Elephas maximus indicus: one gene and its partners. The protein of the gene in region 1 interacts with the protein of each later gene in a pairwise test. Links are inferred from orthologs where the notes say so. Each region holds a gene or a part of one and is shown on either strand. Other genes may lie near its edges.

Region 1 (7,891 bases):
TGCTGCAATCATTTTTGAATTATCTTCAGTAATATTTCACTTGCACGTGATATTAATGATATTATTTGGTAACGTCCTCATTCAGTTGGATCACCTTTCTTTGAAATGGGCACAAGTGTAGATCTCTTCCAGTCAGTTGGCCAGGTAGCTGTCTTCCAAATTTCTCCACGTAGATGAGTGAGTGCTTCTAGCACCGCATGTGTTTGCTGAAACATCTCAGTTGGTATCCCGTCAATTCCCGGGATACTTGTTTTTCACGAATGCCTTCAGTGCAGCTTGGACTTCTTCCTAAAGTACCCCTGGTTCCTGATCATATATAATTCAGAAGGTTTTCACTGGCTAATTCTTTTCGGAAGTAGACCACCAGTCCTTATTCCTAGTCTGTCTTAGTCTGGAAGCTTAGCTGAAACCTGTCTGCCATGGATGGCCCTGCTGGTATTTGAATACTGGTGGCACAGCTTCCAGCATCGCAGCAATACGCAAGCCCCCACAGTACGACAAACTGACAGACACCTGGGGGTTCTCAAACTTCTCTAAGGTTTGAGAAGCACTTAAAACTCTGTTCAGTTTAAAGAAAGATCATAGCCATGCAGTGGCCAAAGCTATGGTCAGTCTGAGCTCTGTGCAGAATATCCTTGTCATCCCAGATTGCCCGTTAATTTAGAAATAGAATTTTATCTCTTATGGGTAAAGATTATAACTATTTTTTCAAACTGTGCTCATATGATCAACAGTCTCAATTATCCAAAATATGGCCCAGACCCAAGAATCCTTGAAAAAAGACCCCAGGTGACAAGTATGGATGCCTTAGGTTCTACATCTCAGGGCTTCTGTGTTTTACTCATTGGAGAGATTACAATCCTAATAAATTTGATGCTATGTTTCACTGCCCAGAAAAGATTGGAAGCAACAAATTTAAACTAGAGCAAAGGGAAAGATATAGACTACAGGTCAGGGTGAGGTTTACATTGAGGACCAGAACAGCTCTAAAATTTTCACGGTTATTTCGTTTTACAAACCTCATTCACACCTCAAAAACAGTAACCCAAATCTTAGGGTGTGGGATTGGCTCTCAACCCTGGCTGTTCCCCAAGCCTTATCACGCAAAGATTCTAATTTAATTGGTTTGGGTTGGGGTCGAGGATCAGGTAGTTTATCAACACTTTCCAGGTGTTTCTAATAGGCAGCCAGGATTGCACTGGCCTAGTGGTTTAGGGCCAATCAGCGTAGGGGCCCAGAGGCAGGGACACCTTAGTAACCTCTACGTAGAGTCTTTACAGCTAGCTACAATCATTGAAATTGGTTAAGAGGACCTTAATTGCCAGGATTTTCTCTTAAGAGGAAAACAGTATATATTGGAAGTGATTTTAACATAACAAAAGATAACCGGGAACTAAATGATACAGAGATACCTATTCAATTCCTGCGTCATAGTTAAAGAACTCTAGAGAGCACTGATGGCATGAGACAGACACCCACCGCCACTTCCCCCTAATTGTTCCCCTAGACCAGCACTAAATGTGCCCACGACTCACTCAGGGATCTTGTTAAAACACAGATTATGACTCAGCAGGTCTGCAGTGGGCCTCAAGGCTCTGCAATTCTCATAAGCTCCAGGTGATGCTGATGTTGCTGGCAGTGGCGTCACTAGGATTGGTGTTACTCAGTGCAATTACTCATGGTGTCACCCCTGCATGGACCTCCTCCCATACCAGACCATACAGAATCCTTTGCAATGTTTTTGTACATAAATCATAATTTTGGTATATCACTCCTTTTCCTTTAATTACTACTTTCTTCTCAAAAGAGTTATTGATATAAGTTCACAAATACTAATTACCACAATATTGTAGCTAAAACATCAGAAAATTTGACAAAATCAGAGGCTATAAAAATACCAGCAGCAACGAAAACAAGTGTGTGCTTGTAGCACCTGTGGGCAAAACCATGTGATTGAAAGCATCATTGTAATTGAGTAATAATGGCGGCTCTGACCTGAGGGCATTAACAGGCTCAAAAGTAAATTAGCATAGAGTTTCAGCCTTGTAGGTATATTGATACCTGTAAGCTGGGTTTACAAAAAATGTTTTTGTTGTTGTAACTAACTACAGTGATATTTTTATAAAAAATAATAAATTTCTACTGGAACACTGACGAAAATTTTATGGAGAGTCATTTTGGTGCCGCCCCTTCTGATGGACAATGGTTGCTGGTCTAGGGAACACACTTAGAGGAACAAGGCTCTAGATAATACTATGGCCACGACTCACCCTCAGCATCCTTCTTTGGAACCCAAACAGGAAGGATGGCTTCCTCACTCCCGAAGAGTGAATTCCACTGAGGGCCTTAATGTCCACTCTGCTCATGACATTCCTGAACTAATATCATGAGCTTGTCCAGCTTTTGTCTATTCTCACTTCCCAATAGGCAACTTCATCATGGTTGAGTTGAAAATGGGTTTAGAGCATATCTAGCTTGGTCCATTCATTACAAAAGTATGGCCCAGACGGCAGAGGTTCTGCCAAGTTCACAGGTGGTAGTAGCAAAGTCAACACTGGGTCCAAGTCAAGACATGAGGGCATCAGTTAAGGATTCTGTCAATATGAGTCAAAATAACTGTTTTGGGTTATTTTCTTCACAGAACATCCACTTGATTATTCTCGGGGGAACCTCGCAGACCATTAAAGGACAAAGTTACCAAGGAATAGACTGAAAGCCCTAAGATGATGTAGATAACATGCTGGAGGCTCCCACACACACACACATTCCCAGTTCCCCAGGACTACACAATGGCTATTGTTTCCCCTCCTGTGGAATTTCCATGAAAAAGGCTCAAAGACGCCAGAGAAACCATTAACCTTCTGGGCCATCCTTATTTTACTTTTCATTTTTTGGAACCCATTCTCAAATAATTTTCTAAGTCCCGCACAGGAATAACATATACTTTTGCTTAATACTAAGACGCCCCAGTGTGAAACTGAAGAAATACATTGTCCTTCCAAAGGGTGGTGGAGGTGCGGGGAGGGAACCTCATTCCTGGAAGATTCGCAAGCTTATCCAGCCAAAAGGCCTCTGATTCTCCAAAAGCAGAGTGAGTGCTAATTAGAACAGCTGACCCAGTGAGTCCTGGGGCAAATGAGGTGACTGGGTCAGTAGCCACACTGGCTCCTGGATGCTCCTTAATTGCCACAAGAGTCCACGCCAGAGGTGCTGCTTAAGCTGGAACTTGCTATCATTTCTGACCTCAAAGCTCTGGACCAGGCTGCGACTTCCCCCATAGAGCCTGTTCCCACCATTTTCATCTCATCTCACTCCCAGTGGCTATTTAGTCAAGGACGGTCCACAGGGAATTCAGCCTGAAAGCCAGCAGTCTGAATATTAAATGCCAACACCACTATGGGCTTCACTTGGAAAGAGCTTTGTTAGGCTTTTGTCTTCTGTTGTGCTCCCGGTAAATCCAATCATATCGCTATTACCTCAGGCTACCTCAGCTCATTCTTGGGAATTAGGCTAGCTGGATACGCGGAGAAGCAAATACTCACCTTTGCTGTCAGGGGATCAGACATCAAACTCATTTTCACCTTTACGACATTTCAAAGGATCCCAAATTATTTTCTTGGTGCCCAGTCAGAAAGGAGTCCCTGGGCAGTGCAAATGACTACTAGCCGAAAGGTTGTGGTTCCAACCCACTCAGGGGGGCCTTGAAAGAAAGCCTGGTGATCTGCTTCTGAAAGGTCACCACCTTGAAAACCCTAAGGAAGGCTAAGGAAGGCAGTTCTAATCTGCACACACAGGGTGGCCATGAGTCAGAAATGACTTGGTGGCAATTTTTTTTTTTTTTAATCAGAAAGATGGGAGAGAACTGAAAGGCCAGGCACCCAACCGTGACCAGTCATGCTATTTCAGCAAAGAGGCTGGAAATGGTTTCACATTTTTTCCCTTGTCCTTTATGTTCTTAATTGTCTTAATGGGCATGTGTTACTCCAACATGAAGTGAAATTATTTTCCTTATTTGCTGTAACTTCCAGGGACAGTTTGATCACATAACCCAGGGACTTTTCAACTCCATTGATCTTGGGGCGGAGGGGTTTCTTTCCAAGCATTCATTTTGAGCTACGCTTTCTCTAATGAATTCAGAGCCTATAAAGGGAACGGCCCATGTTTCTTCATCACCTTGTTTCACAATAGCTATTAGACAACCACAGCATCATCAAAGCCGTGGAAAATGTGTGCCTGGGCGGAGGGGGCACTTCAAGAATTGCAGTGTTGCCAAGGACACAGATTCTGTGAGCCAGGGAAGCCGAGGCCTGGGTCAGGCCGCAGGGGCTTTCAGGCCCAGAAGAGTTGGAGGGCCACTGGCTCCAGGTGCCTGGGGTCAAGGGTAGCCTGCGAGTTCAGCAGAGGCCTGGAGCCCCCAGTCCAGGGTTGGCTTGACCAGCCACACGCAGTGGTTCCGGACAGTGGGGTCCTGACGCCACAACGGCGCCTCGCGACAGCAGAAAGGACCAGGGTCATAGAGCAAGGTACCCGGCCAGCAGTGGGGTGTGGGGGCTGGGCGGGACGGCTGGCTGGGAACTCCAGGAACCCCTGGGGCTGGGGCCTGGGCCTCAGGGCTGCCCCCGATCTTACTCGAGGGCACAGCCACGCCCGCGCCACTCCTCGCCGGCTCACCCCTTTCTCCCGCCACACCCTGCCCTTTTCCGCTCCGCCCCGCCCTCCGCCCCGCCCCACTCTCCGCCTCGCGCCCCGCCCTCCTCCCGCCCCGCCACCTGGGGGCGCTGTGCGAGGTCCGCTATAAATGCGTCGGGGCCGTGCATCCCTCCGATCAGCGAGTGGCGGCGAGTGGCGCCGTGCTTGTCCTCCTTGACTGCCCCAGGCTCCATGGCCCAGCAGCGGCGCTCCAGTGCGCAGTCGGTCTTGCACCCGGACCGCCTGTGGTTCTGGGAGAAGGCCGTGTATTTGGACGAGAACCAGCACGCCTGGCTGCCCATAATCATGGAGGTACAGCCCGCTTCAGGCAGAGGCAGGCAGGACTGTATGGGCGCTCGTTGCCTTCCCGGCGGGGCCCCCCGGAGCTGGAGATGCCCCAGGCTGGGCTGGGCCTTTGAGGAGCCCCGGTCCGGCAGCGAGGGTGGTGGCAGGAAGGCTTGGAAGGGGTCTGATTAACAAAGGGCAGCCCAGGCTTCGCAGATGAAACCACTTATAGAGCAGGGTTCTGAAGGATGAGTAGGAGTTCTCCAGGCCAGGAAGGAGGGTGGTGATTACTCAAAGGTATGGAGGCTAACGGATGAGGACCCAGTGGCTCTGGCATGTGTGAATATGATCTTGGTTAAGACAGGACTTCTCTGGGCTTCAGGTTCCAAAAAAAAACCCAAACCCGTTGCCGTGGAGTTGATTCCAACTCGTAGCGACCCTATAGGACGTGGTAGAACTGCCCCGTAGGGTTTCCAAGGAGCGGCTGGTGGATTTGAACTACCGACCTTTTGGTTAGTACCTGAGCTTTTAACCTCTCTGCCAAATGAGAATAATATCTCTCTAAAGTAAGGGAGTAAGTGACTCCTACGCCTGGCCGGTTATCAGACCCTCCTGGTGTGGGCCCCAGAAATACGTGTTTTAAAAAGTACCCTCAATAGATTGATTCGGCTAGTGGTTAAGAGCTCAGGCCGCTAACTAAAAGGTCGGCAGTTTGAATCCACCGTCCGCTCCTTGGAAACCCTGTGAGGGCAGTTCTACTCTGTCCTGTAGGGTCGATATGATTCAGAATCGACTTGATGGCAGTGGGTTTGGTTTTCTGGGGCTTAAGTTTGGGAACCACTCCCAGAGGATGGGGTGTTTTATACCTTCTCTATGCTTTGGAGGAAGCCGATTTAACGCGTAATACCTTACTAAAAAGGCTGGTGTGGAATAAACGTTGACTTTGTTTTACCCCTGATGCTTTACGATGGATCCTTAGCTAATGCGAATTTCTTCTTAAAGAAATATAACTCTTTTGCAAGTGCCTTCCACCAGAGCCTTGGTTTCCCCAAAGGTGAAAAATACTGAAAATTTTCCATATGTAGAGTGAAGAAAGTATAAAAGTGAATTAAAATATAGAGTAGAACATTCATGTAATATAGCAAACAGCAAAAAGTTATTGAGTGTTGACTCTGTCCCCACTTTACAGATGATGAAACTGAGGCATAAAAATGTAAACTTGTCCAAGGTAGCACAGATAGTAGGTAAAGGGGTTGGAATTCCAGGCTCTTAACCGCCTTCTAAACTTGGTATTAATTTATATTTTAATTTCAAAAGCATGCATATATATATATATATATATATATACTTTAAAAAATCAAGTTAAATATTTACTTTTTAATTCAAATATTTGAAGAAAATTTAGGTGAATGTATTTTTTTTTTTTTAATCTCTGGAGAATATCTTCTTGAACATGACACTGAAACCAAGAACTAGACAGAGTTTTCCACAAAATCAGTATAAATTCTGCATGGAAAGTAACCCAGTAGCAAACTGAAGAGGAGTAGAGTGAGATTTGCCACACATGACTAAAAGAACCACTATTCTTCATATATAAAGGTTTACTTAAATCAATAAGAAACACTAACAAGGCAAGAATAGTGATACCCACACTTACATCTTGCAGTGTGATCTGAATAATTTTTTAACAGTGAGCATTAGTTTCTTTCACAGAAAATAAGACTATTTCCACTTTGAAAAATTGTTCATTAAACAAATGTGAGTGCTAAGTATCATGTCAGGCAGGGTTCTAGGCTCTGGGGCACACATTAAATGTGATAAAATCTCAGTGCTTGTGAAGCTGACAGTCTGCTGGGAGAGATGGATAAAAAAATAGCTCTTAAGCTGGTGGTAAGTTCTGTAGGAGAATTAGAGTGGGGTGGGAGGAGACAGTGAGTGATGTGGGGGTCTTCAGGCAAGACCCCTCTGAGGGTCTTAATGTTCTTTTGCCCGTCGTTTTCTTTGTAAACTTTCTGAATCTCCATGTTGTAGGGATGCTCTTACATAGTCATAGAGTTGGATTTGCTGAGCTCATTCATTTTGATTGGTGAATTGAACTCATTGTCAGTTACTGATATAACTGATGAGTCTGGTCTCAGTTCTGCCATATTGTTTCCTATTATGTTTGTCTCTATATACATACATTTGAGCAGAAACCAAATCAAAACCAGACCTTTAGCCACTGCGTCGATTCTGACTTACGGCAACCCCACGTGCTACAGAGTAGAACTGCTCCGTAGGGTTTTCTTGGGCTGTAGTCTTTACGAAAGCATATCTCCAGGACTGTCTTCTGTGGTGCCACAGGGCGGGTTTGAACTGCCAACCTTTAGGTTAGTATTTGAGCACAAATCGTTTGCACCACCCAAGAACTTTTATACAGTTGAGCAGAGACCTGCCTAAAAGAAGGGTGTTACCCTGCCTAGATCTGGGGGAGAATGTTCCAGGCATAGAGGACAGCAGGTGCAAGGGATCCTGAGAGCAGACATGAGTGTGGCGTGTTCGAGAAATTGAGAGGGGGCCTGTGTGGCCAGGACAGGGTGGAGAGTGAAGGACAGAGCCACAAGAGAGGAGGGAGGCAGGGGCCCGGCAGTGTGGGTTTTTGTGTGGTGTGGTAAAGATTTCCACTCATTCTGCCTGGGACTGGGCCATCAGAGGGTGTTGAGCAGGGGAGTGGTGTGGTTTTTAGACGCTCACCCTGGCTGCTGTGCAGAGAACTGACCGTGGAGCACCAGGCGGTGACTTACAGAGCTACTGCGGTAGTTCAGATGAGAGGTGCTGGTGGTGAGAGTTAGAGGTGGTGGAAAGCAGCCTGCCACCAGATCCTAGGGTCCAGGGATATCTTATTTAAAAGAAGAAATATGACAAGATAAAGAATAGC
Region 2 (7,817 bases), on another chromosome or scaffold:
TTAGCTAAAATGTTCAAATATTATTTTGAATTGTGCCAGCTATTTATTGCCAGCCCCTCTGGGCCCTCTCCACTCCCAGATCAGCTCACTAGTACTAAAAGGGTCTTTGGTCTTCAGCTCCCAGCTACTCCCTGTGACTGCCTTCTAGTAGAACCACATGGGTTTTATTCTCAACTGACCAGCCTAGTTAATTTGGGGCAATGGGCACAAATGACCTTCCCAAGGAGCAGGTGTTGATGACCCCAGCTTTCAGGGGCCCTTGGTGTTCCCCCTTACTAGAACCCTTAGATCTGTTCTTTCCACCTTCTTTGTTTCTTCCAGGAACCCTATTTTCTGGAGCTGAACTACACAAATCTGTAGCTGCAATTATACTTAGTCAAGGAAGAGGGAAAGAAGGCTCTCAGCACAGACCTTCTATTTCACTAAAGCCAAACCAGTTTAAAATTAAAACCATCTACCAGAATGAACTGGATTTCCATATTCTCCTTTTTGCTTTCCTTCCCCCTGCACCCTAGAGCTATCCGTGTTCTAGCTAACTAGAAGGGAAGGAGATGAAAGCCTAGCAATAATTCCTTCCTCAACCCAGGTCCCTCTTTGAAGGCCACCCTCATTTCCTCAGGCCTCCTCTCCTCCCCTAGACTCACTCATCATCTTAGGCATTCCTCCATGGAGTCATCTTATGGGCTCAGATTCTAGATTCTCCTATTTTCCAGGTCCCTGCAGGCACTGCAGGGTCATAAGGAGAACAGCCCAGCTGGGGGCCAGCCTAATGTCAGAGACATTGCTTTAGGTGTACAAAGTAGTTCCTTAAAAAATTGCTTCTATCCTCTGTACAAGGGCAATGGAGGAAAAAAGCCTTTCTTTGAATGTGCCTGCCTGCCGGCCTCCCTGGCAGCCTGGGGGAGGGTTACAAGGCTCAGGATGCTGAACCATAGGAAAGAAATGTTCATAACCAGTGGCAATATGTTCCAGGCCAGGACTACTCCAGGAGTGCACGAGTGTGGGAATGAAACTGCTCAGAGTAGTTTTCTTCCACAGCTGTTTTAGGATTGCACATTCTAGACCAACCTTATCCAGTATTTTTTCTGTGTCTTAGCTTTTAAATTCTTTTGTTAAGCCCCCAAGCGAGAATTGGCCCTACAGGGATCCATGTGGCAGACACTAGATGCTCTTTGGCCAAGGCCTTGGTAATGACTCAGTCATCCCATTGCCTATCCCTTAGCCCTACCCCAGATAAGACCATGGCAGGGGAGGAAACTGAAGTCAAGACTAACCAACTTTATGTATTAAAGCTGTTATTTTTCCTCTGAGGGCATTTTGCATTAGATCTGGGCTATGTGCAGAACCAAAACTGGCTTTGAGAGTTACTGACTTAAATTTGGGGCCCAGACACTCTGGGAGAGAGGTTTGCATAGTATGCTATAAAGGTTTTGGGCCTACCTGGCTACTTCTGGGCCAGCCTGACTTCTTATGTCCACATTAGCACTACCTGAACCCCTCTGTTGAAAGCTAGCCCTACTCCCCTAAGCGGGTCAGATTTTCAGCCCCTGGGCTTAGGGAGAGAAAACTGTCTGCATGCTCTGGGGCAGTAAAGGAAGGCATACCTAAGAGGCCCTGAGACTGACTAGGAACCTCTGCCTCAGAGGATGTCCTTAGCATCCTCAGGCCCTGGAGTTGGGTATTGGCTTCTTTATCCAGCTTTTGTGGAAACTGCCTTTGATTTTATCACTAGAGAAGGAAAAGGAGGTATAGGACCCCAACCATCCAGCAAAGCAGATGTCCCCCAAAACAGGTTGGTTCCCAGCTACAGACCCTAGAAAGGTGAATCCAGCCCTTCTCCTCCTTACTGGTATTTCTTTCCTAATTCATTTGTTTTTATTTTTCCAAGAACCATAAACTCTCTGGCTATTTTCCATGTTCTCAGGGCCCCTGGGTAGACAGACACAGCTTGATGATTTTAGAGCAGACATAGGCCAAGAAACCATGGCATTGAGTGTGCTGAGTCCAGACAAATGATATTTATATACACATCCAAATTTGAAGAGAAATGTATTTCTTTAGGTTTCAAACACTGTAATAATAGATATAAAGCAAAAAATAAAAACCTGTTGCAAAGTTCTAAATCGTCTCTTTTGGTTTGGAGTGAACCTAGGCTGGATTATTTGGAGGTGAATGAGGAAAGGGTATTTAAACTTGTTAGTCTAATAGAAATAAAAATCGCTGCAGCCTGCTCCTGCTATAAAAGGTTTGTTTTGTTTTTTTTAACAACTTTATTGACGTATAATTGACATACAATAAACTACACCTATTTAAAGTGTACAATTTGATAATTTTTTATATACATGCACTCGTGAAACCATCACCACAATTAAGATAGTGAATATACCCGTCACCCCCATAAGTTTCACTGTGCCCCAGCACTAACCTGCATTCTATAGTCATTATAGATCAGTTCGCATTTTCTAGAGTTGCTATAAAGGATCTTGACATTGTTTCGAGTCTTACAAGCTAACTGAATATTGTCCCCATTTTGCCAGTGAAGAAATGTTCTCATAAAAGTTGAGGTCATACAGTTCACAAACTCCTCACTTCAGCTTAGAGCAATTCCTAACACAAATTAGACAAGAAGCCAACAATTTGATTTCGCCCAAAAGGAAGGTCTTATTTGGCTGATAGTGAGTTTTAAGTTTTAATTAGTTAACAACATTAAAAAATCAAGAAATAGCTGTCTTGAAAAACACTGAATATCTGGCATAACTGGGCCTAAGTTTCTGCTTGGCAACAATCTGCAAGGACCTCTCTACCGTAATCACTACCATACTAGTTGTCTCCCTGACTCATTGCCATATTTCTTTTATACCTGAGAAAGTGACTTTTTAAACCCATGTTTCTATTTTTCTTGTTCCGTGGTGCCTGCTCTATCTACTCTTATTACCCGTCTGGTCCCTGGAGGCCAGTGTTGACCTTTCTGCTATACCCTCCACCCCTCACTCCATTTAAGCCTGTTCTTATTTTCTTTTTCCTAGAACTTCAAGGCCTTATTGATAATGTAACCTCCTCAAGGGATTTCTAACATGCTTTTCCGGAAATGAGGCCTTCATTTCAAGAGACCTGGATTCCAAATCCTAGCTTCTCAGTTCCTTCATCACACAATTATACCGTATTGCCTCTCAGTGTTACCTGGTAAAGGCAAACCTTGATGTCTGGAGCCACTAAACAGAGCTCTCTGCCCTATGGTCTCCTTAACTTTTGGGGGAAATACTTAACATCTTAACAGCCCCCAAACAATGCTCAATTTGAACAACTTAAAACCATTCTCTGCCTTCACCAAGTGCTAGCCTTTGGGACAAGAGAATTTAGCTAACAATTCCCCACAGTATTCTTTGACTTGCAAGCAAATAGTATCAACACCTTGGTGATAACGCTGTAATAGAACTCTATCTAGACGTAGGGAGCTAGGACAGATTGCAGAGCATTGGGAAGGCTCTAAAGAGGCTTTTGAGCTGGGCCTCAAAAGAGGAAATAGGATCTGCAAAAACCTGAGAAATGCTGGAAAGAGTAAAAGTACAGTTGAAGCAAAAACGAGAGTGGGGATGGGGAGGATTGGCTGAAAACAGAAGAAGCCAAATCGTCTAGGCTTTCAGCTCCAGGCGCAAGGATTATTGGCCTTTATTCCATTATCTGTAGGTAGCAGGGATAACGAATTGTGATTCCATATTTGGAGAGAAGCTTGGGGTTCCCCCCCCCCAGCTTTAGCCCCAGTGCCACTGGGACTTTGTCAGTCTAGTCAGATGGTGTGATGAAGTGGCCTGCGTAGGGTTGGCCTGTCAGAGAAAAAGGCTTGGGAATCTTTGTCTGAGGCCAAGCTCTCCCTGCAGGGTGTCCTCAGCCCTTTCCAAAGAGACTAGTTGCCACACTGGTGATGGAAAAAAAAAAAATGTTGCTTTCGAGTCAACTCGGACTCATAGCGACCCTATAGGACACAGGAGAACTGCCGACTTTTTTGGTTAGCAGCTCTTAACCACTAGGCCACCAGGGTTTCCAACTGGTGATGAGGAGTGGGAAAAAAATAAGTCACCTCGACTCATCCTAAGGGAAAGCATGGCAGAGTAGTTAGTACGGTGGCCTGGTGCCAGACTTCCTGGTTTTGAATCCCTGCTCTAACCACTCTTTAGCAGTGTGACCTTAGACAAGTTATCTAACCTTTGCCTTACTGTTCTCATGAGGAAATGGGAAATAACAATAGTACTTGTCTCGATGAGTAGTTATGAGGATTAACCATATGGCAGGCACCCAATAACCTGTTATTGCTATTATTAAAAGCCTCCATTTGAAAAAAGGAAATTGAGGCCCAGAGAGAGAAAAGAATGCCCAGTCATACTACAAATCAGTGATGACGTCAGAACTGGAATACAGGTCTCTCGACTCAAGAATCCATCGCTCGTCGAGAGGCCTCAGAGTCCCCCAGATACTAAAAATAAGAGGCATAGAATTTCACAATGTGGGGTGAGAGGGTGGTGGCGTGCAGGAAAGAATAGCCAGGAGCAAAGCCTGGGTACTGAATCACAGCTTCTGAATGATAATGAGGTTACTCTAGGTATTTATGCATAGTAACTGGCTCCTTCCGGACCTACAGGGTACCCGGCTGCCAGAACGAAGCCCTTTCCCTTGCATCTTGGGAGTTGTGGACAGCTAGCCCCGATGCATGGAGGGACATGTAGTCCCTTCCCTCCCCCGCCTTCCCAATTACCCGCCTCAAAGGCCGCCATCGCCTCAGCTTTCCCAGCAAGCTTCGCGAGAGCGCGGGCTATTGATTGGCTGCGACGAGAGCGGGCCGCTCTGCCGAAAGCGGTTGCCCAGGGTTTCCGGTGCGCGGCCAGAGCGGGTGAAGCCGTCGGTACGTCGGCGGCGAGGTACGTGCTGCTGCAGCTAGCGGGACGAGACGATCAGGGTGCTCCCTGTATGCCTGGATACTTTCGGCAAGTGGGGGCAGTCGCGCCGATTTCGTGCGTGGGCTAGGGCGGGGAGGCGGGTTATGGCCTTGCGCATGCGCGCGCGCGGCTGGAGGGCGCGCGGGGCGTGGGTGGCTGCGCGCGCGCGCGCTCGCGGAGCCCACGTGAGTCCTAGGGGCGGGGGGGAGGGTTCGGGAATAGAGCATCCCGCCACGTCAGTCTTCGGCCCTGAGCCAATCCCGCGCTCGGCCTGTCGTGAGGGGGCCGTGTTGTGCCGGGAAGTGGCTTCGGCAGGAGGGAGGCCTCTGTCCTCGCCCGTTCTAGGAGTAGCGCCCCGAAAACCAGCCTGGGCACGCCAGGCTCCCCTGACCGGGCAGAGACCGGGAGAACCGTTAGCTCCCCCCGGTAGAGGCCAACCAGTTTGTTTTTGTTTTGAGAAGCTTTGTGCGCCTGGCATTGGGCGGCGAAGATTTTCGAAGTCTGGAAAATAGCAACTGTGTTTCTTTCTGAAGGATTTGCTCTTAATCTAGCCTTGCAAACCACAATGAAGAACCAAGACAAAAAGAATGGGGCTGCCAAGCCATCAGGCAACACTTCCAACCCAAAAAGCAACCCAGGGCAACCGGAAGCGGGACCAGAGGGAGCTCAGGGGCGGCCCAGCCAGGCTGCTCCTGCAACCGAAGCTGAAGATTCCACCACCCAGGCCCCGGGGAAGCCTGAGGGTGTGTGCCAGCTTTGCTTTTCCATCGGGCAGGGGGAGGAGTTTGTGGTACTCCTGCTTAGCTGCTGGAGTTTGAAGCCGAGGCCAGCAGTTTACCCAGGGAAGAGGAAATGTAGAATGAGAGGAGGACAGTGCAGAGTCTGTGTGATTCCCCACCCTTTCCGGGGGAGTTGATATAGCCTCCTGCTCCAAACACGAGCAGAACCCTCTTTAGAGAAGGCTGACAGGATTAAACCAGGTGGCAGTCAAATGAGAGGCCTGACTAGCAAATCCTCGTCCCTTTAGGAGACACTTCAGTCACCAGTGGGTAACTGCCATCCATACTTGAGGTGTTTCTGGAACTTGTTTAATAGTAAGGAACAGCTTTTGAGGGGAGGAGATTAGAAGTTGAGTTCATGCTAAGTGCTTAGTCCATGTTGAATGCTTTACATACCTTTATACTCACAGCAAACCTTATTGGGTGGTGGTGAGGGATAGTTACACCATTTATAGGGAAATGAACTGAGCTTTAAAGAGATTAGGCAATGTTTAACCCAACCCGGTGAGTCTGGCTGAGCCTGAAGAGCCCCAACCAGTGATATAACCATCTCATTTCTCACTGTGCACCTCATCCTATTCTGTTGTAGGGGCTCAAGCCAAAACTGCTCAGTCTGGGGCCCTCCGTGATGTGTCCGAGGAGCTGAGCCGCCAGCTGGAAGACATCTTGAGTACTTACTGTGTGGACAACAATCAGGGGGGCCCAGGTGAGGATGGGGCACAGAGTGAGCCCGCCGAACCTGAAGATGCAGAGAAGTCCCGGAGCTATGCTGCAAGGAATGGGGAGCCTGAGCCAGGGACCCCAGTAGTCAATGGTGAAAAGGAGACTTCCAAGGGGGAGCCAGGCACAGAGGAGATCCGGGCGAGTGACGAAGGCGGAGACCGAGACCACCGGAGGCCACAGGAGAAGAAGAAAGCCAAGGGGCTGGGTGAGCAGAGGATAGCTACTTAGTTTAACCAGAGCCAGCTGTGTGGGGCCACAACATAGAAATGTTCAGGTCATTCACTGCACAAGGGCACCTGGCTTCAGAAGCAAGTGGGGCTGAAATCTAGCCTGCTTGCTCTTTGAGAAAATGGAGAGCAGGAGACTTGGTGGGCTCCCGTGCCAGCCAGCACCACAGTGTGACCTTGGGCAAGTCCCTCCCCTGTCTGGGCCTTAGTTTCCAGTTCTTTTTAGTAAGAGAACTAGACTAGACCAGGATCAAAAGCTCAAATGTCCCCATAAACCAAGCTAACCAGGGGACCCATGTGGATCAAGAGAATGCCTGTTTCATCCAAAGGTTGACTGCCACCTGGTCCCAGCTAATTGATAGCAGCCAAAGCTGCAGGCTTACTGCAGCCAGTTTTTTTTTTTTTTTTTTAACTGTTGGCAACTAAAACACTAGGAGCCAAGCAAAACCCGTTTATGGGCTGGATTTGGCCTGTGTGCCAGTGACTTGCAGCCTGTACACCCAACTCTTGGAGACTCCCAAGACTGACACTCAGGAGCCTGGTGCTGTTCTGTGCAAGGTGGCCCCCAGGGAGGGAGCAGTGAACTCTCTGACTCAGGTGCAGGCAGCGGGGAAAGGTAGTGACTGACAGGCTATTAAAGGATCGAGGTTGGGTGATGTTATACCTGTGCCCTACTCCCTACTTTCCTACCCTCAGCTGTTGCCCTAATTTGAAGAGAGAGTATTTATTTTAAAAAATCTTAGACTTGAGAAACTAACTTTAGCTGTGAACTTTCATTTAAAGCACATACAAAAAAGAGATTTTCGAATCACGTATGTGGAAGATATACTCGTTTTATACTCATTCACTATTTGGCTACCTGTTGACAGGAAATTTTCAGTGCATTCTCAGGGAGGCCAGAGACTTAGCTTTCTTGGATCCTTCCTCTTTTGGAAAGGCCCTCCTTGCATTGAAACAGTAGCACTGAACTCCAAGGTGGGACACCTTTCATCTGGTGATAGAGCAGGCCATTTTTCTCTCCCACCGGTGGTGCCCACCAAGATTCCACAGGTGCCCAGTTGTTCAGCGGTTGAGCATGTGCCCTGTGACAGGCACTAGGGAGAGTCCTGGGGCCCTCACGAAGCATGTAGTCTAGCAGGGAAGGCAGCCAGTTTGAC
Region 3 (7,890 bases), on another chromosome or scaffold:
GGTGCTTGTGAGCAGTTCTTAAAATTTTTTAAATTAAAAAATATTGGATGAGATGACTATATCTAGATAATATAAAATTTACTGTGAAATGTAAAAAAAAAAAAAAGAGAGAGAGAGAGATTTAACTTGGCCAAACTCTATCCTCTAGTAACAAACATACAAAAACATGAAAATGAACATTAAACTGGATTTTATTTGAGGGAAACATGATTTAGAGTTACATAAAGAAGTGATTGTTTTTACTTGTACAAGGCAAGGTTATGGAAGCTCCATAGATGCATCCAAACTCCCTGAAGGACTGAATTGCTGGGCTAAGCATTGTGGTGACCATAATCTCGGGGAACATCTAGATCAATTGGCATAACAGAGTTTATAAGGAAAAAGTTCTACATTCTACTTTGGTGAGTAGTGTCTGGGGCCTTAAAAGACTGTGATGGGCCATCTAGGGTACTCCACTGGTCTCACCCCTTGGGAGCAAGGGAGAATGAAGAAAACTAAAGATATAAGAGAAAGATTAGTCCAAAGGACTAATGAACCACATCTACTACGCCTCCACCAGACTGAGTCCAGTATAACTAGATGGTGCCCGGCTACCACCATTGACTACTCTGACAGGGACCACAAGAGAGGGTCCTGGGCAGAGCTGGAGAAAAATGTAGAACAAAATTCTAACTCAAAAAGAACAACCAGACTTACTGACCTGACAGAGACTGGAGAAACCCAGGGAGTATAGCCCCTGGACACCCTTTTAGCTCAGTAATGAAGTCACTCCTAAGGTTCACCCTGAAGTCAAAGGTTAGGCCCATAAGACAAAACGAGACTAAAGGGGCACAAAAGCCCAGAGGCAAAGACTAGAAGGCAGGAGGGGATAGGAAAATTGGTAATAGGGAACCCAAGGTCAAAAAGGGAGAGTGTTGACATATCGTGGTGTTGTTAACCAATGTCATAAAACAATATGTATATTATTTAATGAGAAACTAGTTTGTTCTGTGACCCTTCATCTAAAGCGCAATAAAAAAAAAAACTTTAAAAAATAGCATAATAAATATCAGTTACTGGAAAAACAATGAAAAAACTAAAAAAAAAAAAAAAAAAAGTGATTGTTTTTCACCAAAGTGTTGATCAATTGAAAACGAGTCAGACATTCCCGTGTATTTGTGGCCTGTTATGTAATAATCACCACAGCAAACACTTTAGAGAGGAACGAAGATTGTCTAGGTCTAGATTAGAAAACCCTGATCTAGTATCTTAGTCATTCCCATTTCCTCAGTTTTTTTGTGGGTGGGATTTGAAAAAACGTAGTTGATACAGAACTTCTACTTTCATAATATGCCCTCCAGATGGCTGAAATAAAATTTATTCCATCACCTTTAGGTTATCCAAGTTTCCTACAAAACACAACTGAAGGTGGGAATGGCACAAACAGGCGAGTACTTAAAATAGCTTGTTTGGGGACATAAATACTTATGTGTGTAAGTACATACGGTAGAATTCTGGTTTTTAAAAAATTAAAACATGGGTGTTACTAACAAGAGGTTGATTTTGTTGTTGTTAGTCGCCGCTGAGCTGGTCCGACTCATGGTGACCTTATATATAACAGAACAAAATGTTGCCTGGTCCTGTGCCATCTTCATGATCATTGGTATGTTTTAGTCCATTGTTGTGCCTTTTTAACAAGAGGCAGAAAAACATTAAAAAGTCTTTGGATGCTCTCTGGTGTTACTTTCTATCTTGTTCATCAAAATTTGCATTTAGGGAAGCCACAAATCCTGGTTCAGATGTCCATGGAGTTCTGGTTGGCATATCTTACCTTTAGCACTAGTAAAGAGTTATATTTCCAAGGACATTGAATTGACTTGTAGCTAAGCGATGTCTTTGAAAGGGTGTACATTTAAAAATACAGCAATATACACCTTTGAAAGAATTATAGAAGTATTTTTGGTAAAATCAATTTAATCTCTTTGATTGTACAGTCCTGGGAGATTAAGAAGATTGTTAAATTTATTTAAGCAATATTATATTTAATACAAAAATCATTGGTTTATATGATTAACATAAGGTGGATACTGAATCTCTGTATTGATGACTATGATTGGGGAAAAAACAAAACAAAACATAACCTCAAAGAAATTTGTAAAAATACAAAACCAAGCAAAATTCTATTATAACAGAGAAATTACAAATGGCTCTGCAGATGAAATTCATAGCCACTCTGCCACCAATAATCGCTTAACGAAGAAATATTTAATTAGTAAAAGGCCTTTGTCCGAATTTCAAGAGCACCTCCCTCCTTGCCCAATCACCACGTGCTCCCAGCTAACCTTTTATTTGTGTCCTAAACATGGTCCCTTCTCCTGGCCAAATGGATTATAATTTCAGCTCTTCTTTCCCTCCTTGCCTCACCTTATTTACCCACTCCCCATCTCCTTAGAACTCTGTGCCTTACTTGGTCCCTTGCCTTATAAAAAAAAAAAATTATAGCTACAGCTTTATTGACCACTTTTTCCATTTATAATATCTTCCCTTTCCACCATGCTTCTCATGTTCTTCCTTTAAAATGTAACTCAAAGCTGGCCTCTCCTTTGAGAAATATACCATTCTCTCCCGCTCCAAGTTGCTTTATTTATGTAAGCTTGTTGCAGTTTATTGACTTGAATTTGTTGATATGTTGCTTTGAAATAAGTGTCATTAATCCTTTTAGGTGTTTATACTGTATTTCTAAAAGGAGGTTATAGACTGTTATGGGCTGAATTGTATCCGCTTAAAACATATCTCAACTTGGCTAGGCCATGATTCCCAGTATTGTGTGATTGTCCACCATTTTGTCATCTGATGTGATTTTCCTTTGTGTTGTAAATCCTACCTCTATGATGTTAATGAAGCAGGATTAGAGGCACTTATGCTAATAAGGCAGGACTCAATCTACAAGATTAGGTTGTATCTTGAGTCAATCTCTTTTGAGATATAAAAGAGAGAAGCAAGGAGAGAGATGAGGGACTGCCTACCACCAAGAATGAAAAACCAGGACGGGAGCAAGTCCTTTGGAACCAGGGTCCCTGCACTGAGAAGCTCCTAGACCAGGGAAAGATTGATGACAAGGACCTTCCTCCAGAGCTGACACAGAAAGAAAGCCTTCCCCTGGAGCTGGCATCCTGAATTCAGACTTCTAGCCTCCTAGACTGTGAGAGAGTAAACTTCTGTTTGTTAAAGTCATCCACTTGTGGTATTTCTGTTATAGCAGCACTAGATAACTAAGACAGACTCTTTAAAAGAATGTCTTAAAATTCCAGCCACCACACTAGAACAGCGTTCATTCCGTAGAAAGGTACTGAATGAATTCTGTTGTCTGATTGGCCTGCTCTCGTTTCTGTCCCAGAAAGACCAGTACAACATGATTTGAACATTTTTTTTCTCCTTTAGAAGAATGGAAAAGTGAGGACAAATTGTAGCAATCTCCATTGTTCAATTGTTTATTTTAAATTGATACAGACTGTGCCAGGGTCACAGAAATTGTGTCCTCGAAGAGAGTTTGATGGTGAAGTCTAAACTATCCATATATTAATTCAAAAAATGAAACAAAATTGTTGAAGTTAATGTGAAATGAGATGTTTTGAGTTCATTGTTAGATCTCAGACAGGTTAGCCAGTGCTTCACTGGAATATCAAAGCCTACAGAAAAGCTCATGGTAAATTTGCAAAACACATAGAGACAGATGTGATGTAAACTTTAAACTCAAGCTACACTTTTACAATCGCTCCCACGAGTACGTGCGGATAATTAGAAAATCCATAAACATAGGAGATAGGATGGGGGGAGGTGGAAAGGGGTCTCAGGATAGCCTAAGATTCCAGGGTGGTGGGTTATTTTGTTTTTGGATACATCTGCGGGCTCGCTGATTAGATTCAGCACGCTGGCCAGCTCCCCCTTCCGCCGGGTTTATTGACCTTAGTGGAAGGCGCCGGGTGAAGGAAGGCACCATCTGCCGCTTTTTATTAATAGATAACCGGAGAAACAGGGATGAGGACAGCGCGACAGAGCCAGTGCATTAGACGCTGAAGCCTCTGAGTTCTCGGGGGGGATTTTGATCTCGGGGTCCCCACTCACCGCCTACATCCTCCAGCGAGCCAGAATGGAGGAAAGACTGAGCAATCTGCAACGCTTCCATTTCTCTGGCAGTCTCGCTCAGCAGAAAGCAATCTACTTCTCGGAGCTGAACGTTCCTCACAGTTTTGGGGGTTGGGAGAGTGCGGAGGGGGGTACTACTTCAATAGTTGAGCTGCATGGTTGATGCCCTAATCCACTCAAAATTTGGTACGTTTATTTTAATGGCAGTGGGCATCTCTAAATTGCTGTAATCAGAGTTTGGTGGGGCACACACACTGCCCAGCCCAGTGCCCCCACGCCCCAGGCGTTAAGAAGCCTGGGGATAGAGGATGAATCCTTTCTTTCCCGTGTGGAATCTCGAAGACTTCCTCTTAGTGAGACCTCTGAATTTAGCGTCTCCAAACAGTCCCCTCTTCACAGACAAGAACTCACCACTGGTTTCTCTATTTCTCCCTGCCCAAGAACTTTTTGTCTGCCGGAGGAGGAGAGGGGTCGAGACAATGAGAGATGGGGATCGTAAAAGAAATTATCCACAAAAACAAGGAGGGGACGGCGTTGGGTCAGTACCGAGGCCCTGAGGCACGCGCTGCGCTCTTCTCCCTCCAGCTCTCTGCAGCCGCCCTTTACGCTGCGGACACGGGAGAGTTAAGCCAATAAACACGTAAGCGCCGCTCCCTCCCCAATCGGCAAGATGCCTCTTCGGCTCTTGGCTGCATCGACAGCTTGCAACACTCGGCATCTTTTCTGGAGGCGCCTCCTTCAGAGGCTGCAGATGGCATCCGGCTGCGGGCTCCGGGCTCGCAATTAATTCTCCCCCTTGCCCATCTCGGGTCCACGGACGCACCTCTCCCTGCCCCTCCTCCCTTCGCGCTCCTGGGTCTGAGCCCAGCTCCCGGTCGCCGGGCGGAAGCAGCAGTCGCCGCGGCGAGGCTGAGCAGCAGCGCGCTCACTCCCTGATTTGGTGAGAGGCGACCACCCGGGAGAGCCGACCCCTAGCTGTCTCCAGCGCCCCCCACCTTTTGCACCCCAAGCCGGGGGCTGCAGGGGTCCCCCCACCTCAGGCGCCACCATGCTGGACCCTTCGTCCAGCGAAGAAGAGTCAGATGAGATCGTGGAAGAGGAGAGCGGCAAGGAGGTGCTCGGCTCGGCCGCGTCCGGCGCGCGCCTGTCTCCCAGCCGCACCAGCGAGGGCTCGGCCGGCGGCGCCGGGCTGGGGGGCAGCGGCGCCGGAGTGGGCGCGGGCGGCGGCGGGGGCAGCGGCCCGGGCAGCGGCGGGGCCGGGGGACTGCAGCCCAGCAGCCGCGCCGGCGGCGGCCGGCCCTCCAGCCCCAGCCCGTCGGTGGTGAGCGAGAAGGAGAAAGAGGAGTTGGAGCGGCTGCAGAAGGAGGAAGAGGAGAGGAAGAAGAGGCTGCAGCTCTATGTGTTCGTCATGCGCTGCATAGCCTACCCCTTCAACGCCAAGCAGCCCACCGACATGGCTCGCCGGCAGCAGAAGGTAGGTGTGCCGGGGAGGCCCCGGGAGCGGCGCCGGGACGTCGCCAGGTGGCGGGGCGAACAATGGGAGCTGGCGGCGCCGCGGGCACCCGGGAAAGGGGCTCCGAGACTCTCGCGCGGCCGGGCCCGGCCCAGCCCAGAGCGCGCCGGCAGCGGCCGAGAGCCGGACAGGGGCCTGGAGCCCAGCAGACGCACCCGGGCCTCCCTCCCCGAGCGTCGGGAACGCCACCGGCAGGTCCTGCCTGGCGGCCCGGAGGTCTGGGGCGTGAGGCCTGGCTCGCTCGCTGCGCTCCCAGCGCGCTCCGGCGCCAGGCGGTGTCCGCCCTCGGCTTGGGGCCCGCCCTTCTGGGCGTGCGCTCAGCGGGCGGGGCGCCGGCTGTGCGGGACGAGAGCGCCCGGAGCCGCGCTCGGCTCGGCGGGCGGAGAGCATCCGCGGACGGGCGGAGGGAGCGAGTCCGGGAGGCTGTGAGCACCCTCCTGTCCCGCCCGGCCGGCTGGCCCCCGACTGGCGTCGCCCAGGGGTGCCGGAGCGCGAGCCCCAGGCAGAGGTTTTCCCCTGTTCCTCCTCCGCCCGGGTGCCATGGCGCGCCGCGCCCTCTGATCCTTCCGCCCGGGTCAGCCCCTCCACCTGCCTCCCTTCGGCCCGCCACTCCTCGTCCCAAGGTGACTTCGCCGCTACCTTCTGGCTTGCCCAGGCCCTCCAGACCCGGCCCTGTTGGCTTGATAAAGTGCAGTTGCAAAAAGCCTCGCAATTACAAGCATCAAAAGCTTTTTTGTCTGAGGCTGGGGCAAGGCTGCGGCGGCTTGGACTGCCTTTGATAGGAAAAAAGCGCCGATTTCTCTCAGCGGCACTGTAGCCCGAGAAAGGCGAGGGTGGTTACTGCTGGGAGAGGTGCTGCGGCAGGGGTCCCAGGAGAAGGGGTCAGGTACTTGGTTGGAGAGAGTTAATGAGGAAAGTCAGCATTCTGCTCAGTCTCTTTTAAATGAATCTGCTGCACCTGAGCAAGCGGAAAAGCCACTCAAGCCCCCAGAGGGGCGGTGTGAGAAGGCAGCTCTAACCCCGCCAAGGTTGTGAGACCCGTTTCTTAAAATAGCGAATTTCTAGGTTGCTTCTAAGACGAAATTGTATGTTACTGTAGGGGAGTGTTGGGTTTTCCTATATTTATCCTCTTATCGCGAGTTAGCACAGATTTCTCTGTTTGTTTTGCATATCTATGTACATACACCGCCCAGCGCTGATGATTTATTTCAGCTATCACGAGCTTGGTTAATAGTTTTATTTAAAAAAATAAAACTCATTTCCTGGTTGAGAAACACCAGACGGGCTACACACCCCACACCCCCCCGCAATCACGGCCTTGCTCCCCACTACAGCCGCTTTGCTTTTTCAACCTATGTTTTGGACCGCAGAAAGCAAAAGTATCCTCAGAGCAGTGAAAGTTTTCTGGATATGCTTTCTTGAGCTTGGATGTTGGGTCCTTTGCACAGGACCCGGCATTTCAAGTTTCACTTGGAATTAGGGTAATTGGGAAATTCCATCTCCAAAATCTATCCCATTAATAGCTGCACCAACCAAAGATGTCCTATTCCTTTGGCAGAGAAAACTGTTGTCAGTTCCAAAAAGCAAAAACAAGAACGAAAGATACCCCTTGCCATTTATCGCTCGAAAGTCTCCAGAATTCTGGTCTTTAAATGCATGCTTAACCCAGGCACCAGGATGAGGGAAGGAGACTGTTCCCACAGAAAGCCGAGCTAAACAGAGCCTTCAAACACCTGAGAAAGATTATCACGAGGCCACAGTTTTCTAAGCTGATTGCGTGTTTCACCTGAATCCATTCAAAGCAGTGGTATTCCAGGGCTAGCTGGTTGTTTTTACACATGACCTTAACATCAGAGAGAGTCCAGAACTGACACTTGCTTTTGGTGGAACTATTTTTAGTTATTGCCGCAAAGTAGTCCTGGATTCATCTCGGCAAAGCCACAGCTACACTGGGGAGCTGAAAATATGTACACATGCACACATATGTATTTATACACACATATATGTATTTACCATTGTAATAAGATATATATGTCCGTTCCATATGTATGTCCATTCCTTCTTAAACTAAAGGTAAATAGGCTTTTCCGTTGCTGTGTATTTTTTTTAAGTTTTTAGTGCCTCCCTGAAAAAGGGTATTTTGGTAAGTGTATGTTTTTCCAAGTATAAAGCTTGGAACTTTGATAGAAAAAAAAAAAGTGACCACTGAAAGTAACTAAAAGGTTTGCATAATCATTGCAGTAAAATTTAAC

Evidence for each region.
Region 2: the proteins of TCL1A (region 1) and TXLNA interact in binary tests that used the Homo sapiens proteins (3 or more experiments, as listed by UniProt). The two-hybrid records come from large-scale screens. The link is inferred for Elephas maximus indicus from reciprocal best matches to the Homo sapiens genes TCL1A and TXLNA.
Region 3: the proteins of TCL1A (region 1) and CADPS interact in a two-hybrid assay, tested with the Homo sapiens proteins (3 studies listed by BioGRID and IntAct). The two-hybrid records come from large-scale screens. The link is inferred for Elephas maximus indicus from reciprocal best matches to the Homo sapiens genes TCL1A and CADPS.

What each region holds. Positions count from the first base shown.
Region 1 is NC_064828.1:109,306,500-109,314,390, reverse strand, and holds the start of TCL1A (T-cell leukemia/lymphoma protein 1A), read left to right. Parts: upstream 1-4,881; coding exon 4,882-5,001; intron 5,002-7,891. UniProt on the Homo sapiens protein: Enhances the phosphorylation and activation of AKT1, AKT2 and AKT3. Promotes nuclear translocation of AKT1. Enhances cell proliferation, stabilizes mitochondrial membrane potential and promotes cell survival.
Region 2 is NC_064821.1:73,087,781-73,095,597, forward strand, and holds the start of TXLNA (alpha-taxilin), read left to right. Parts: upstream 1-4,807; 5' UTR 4,808-4,913; exon of another isoform or gene 4,914-4,979; intron 4,980-5,464; 5' UTR 5,465-5,496; coding exon 5,497-5,674; intron 5,675-6,299; coding exon 6,300-6,638; intron 6,639-7,817. UniProt on the Homo sapiens protein: May be involved in intracellular vesicle traffic and potentially in calcium-dependent exocytosis in neuroendocrine cells.
Region 3 is NC_064838.1:67,984,027-67,991,916, reverse strand, and holds the start of CADPS (calcium-dependent secretion activator 1), read left to right. Parts: upstream 1-4,880; 5' UTR 4,881-5,173; coding exon 5,174-5,599; intron 5,600-7,890.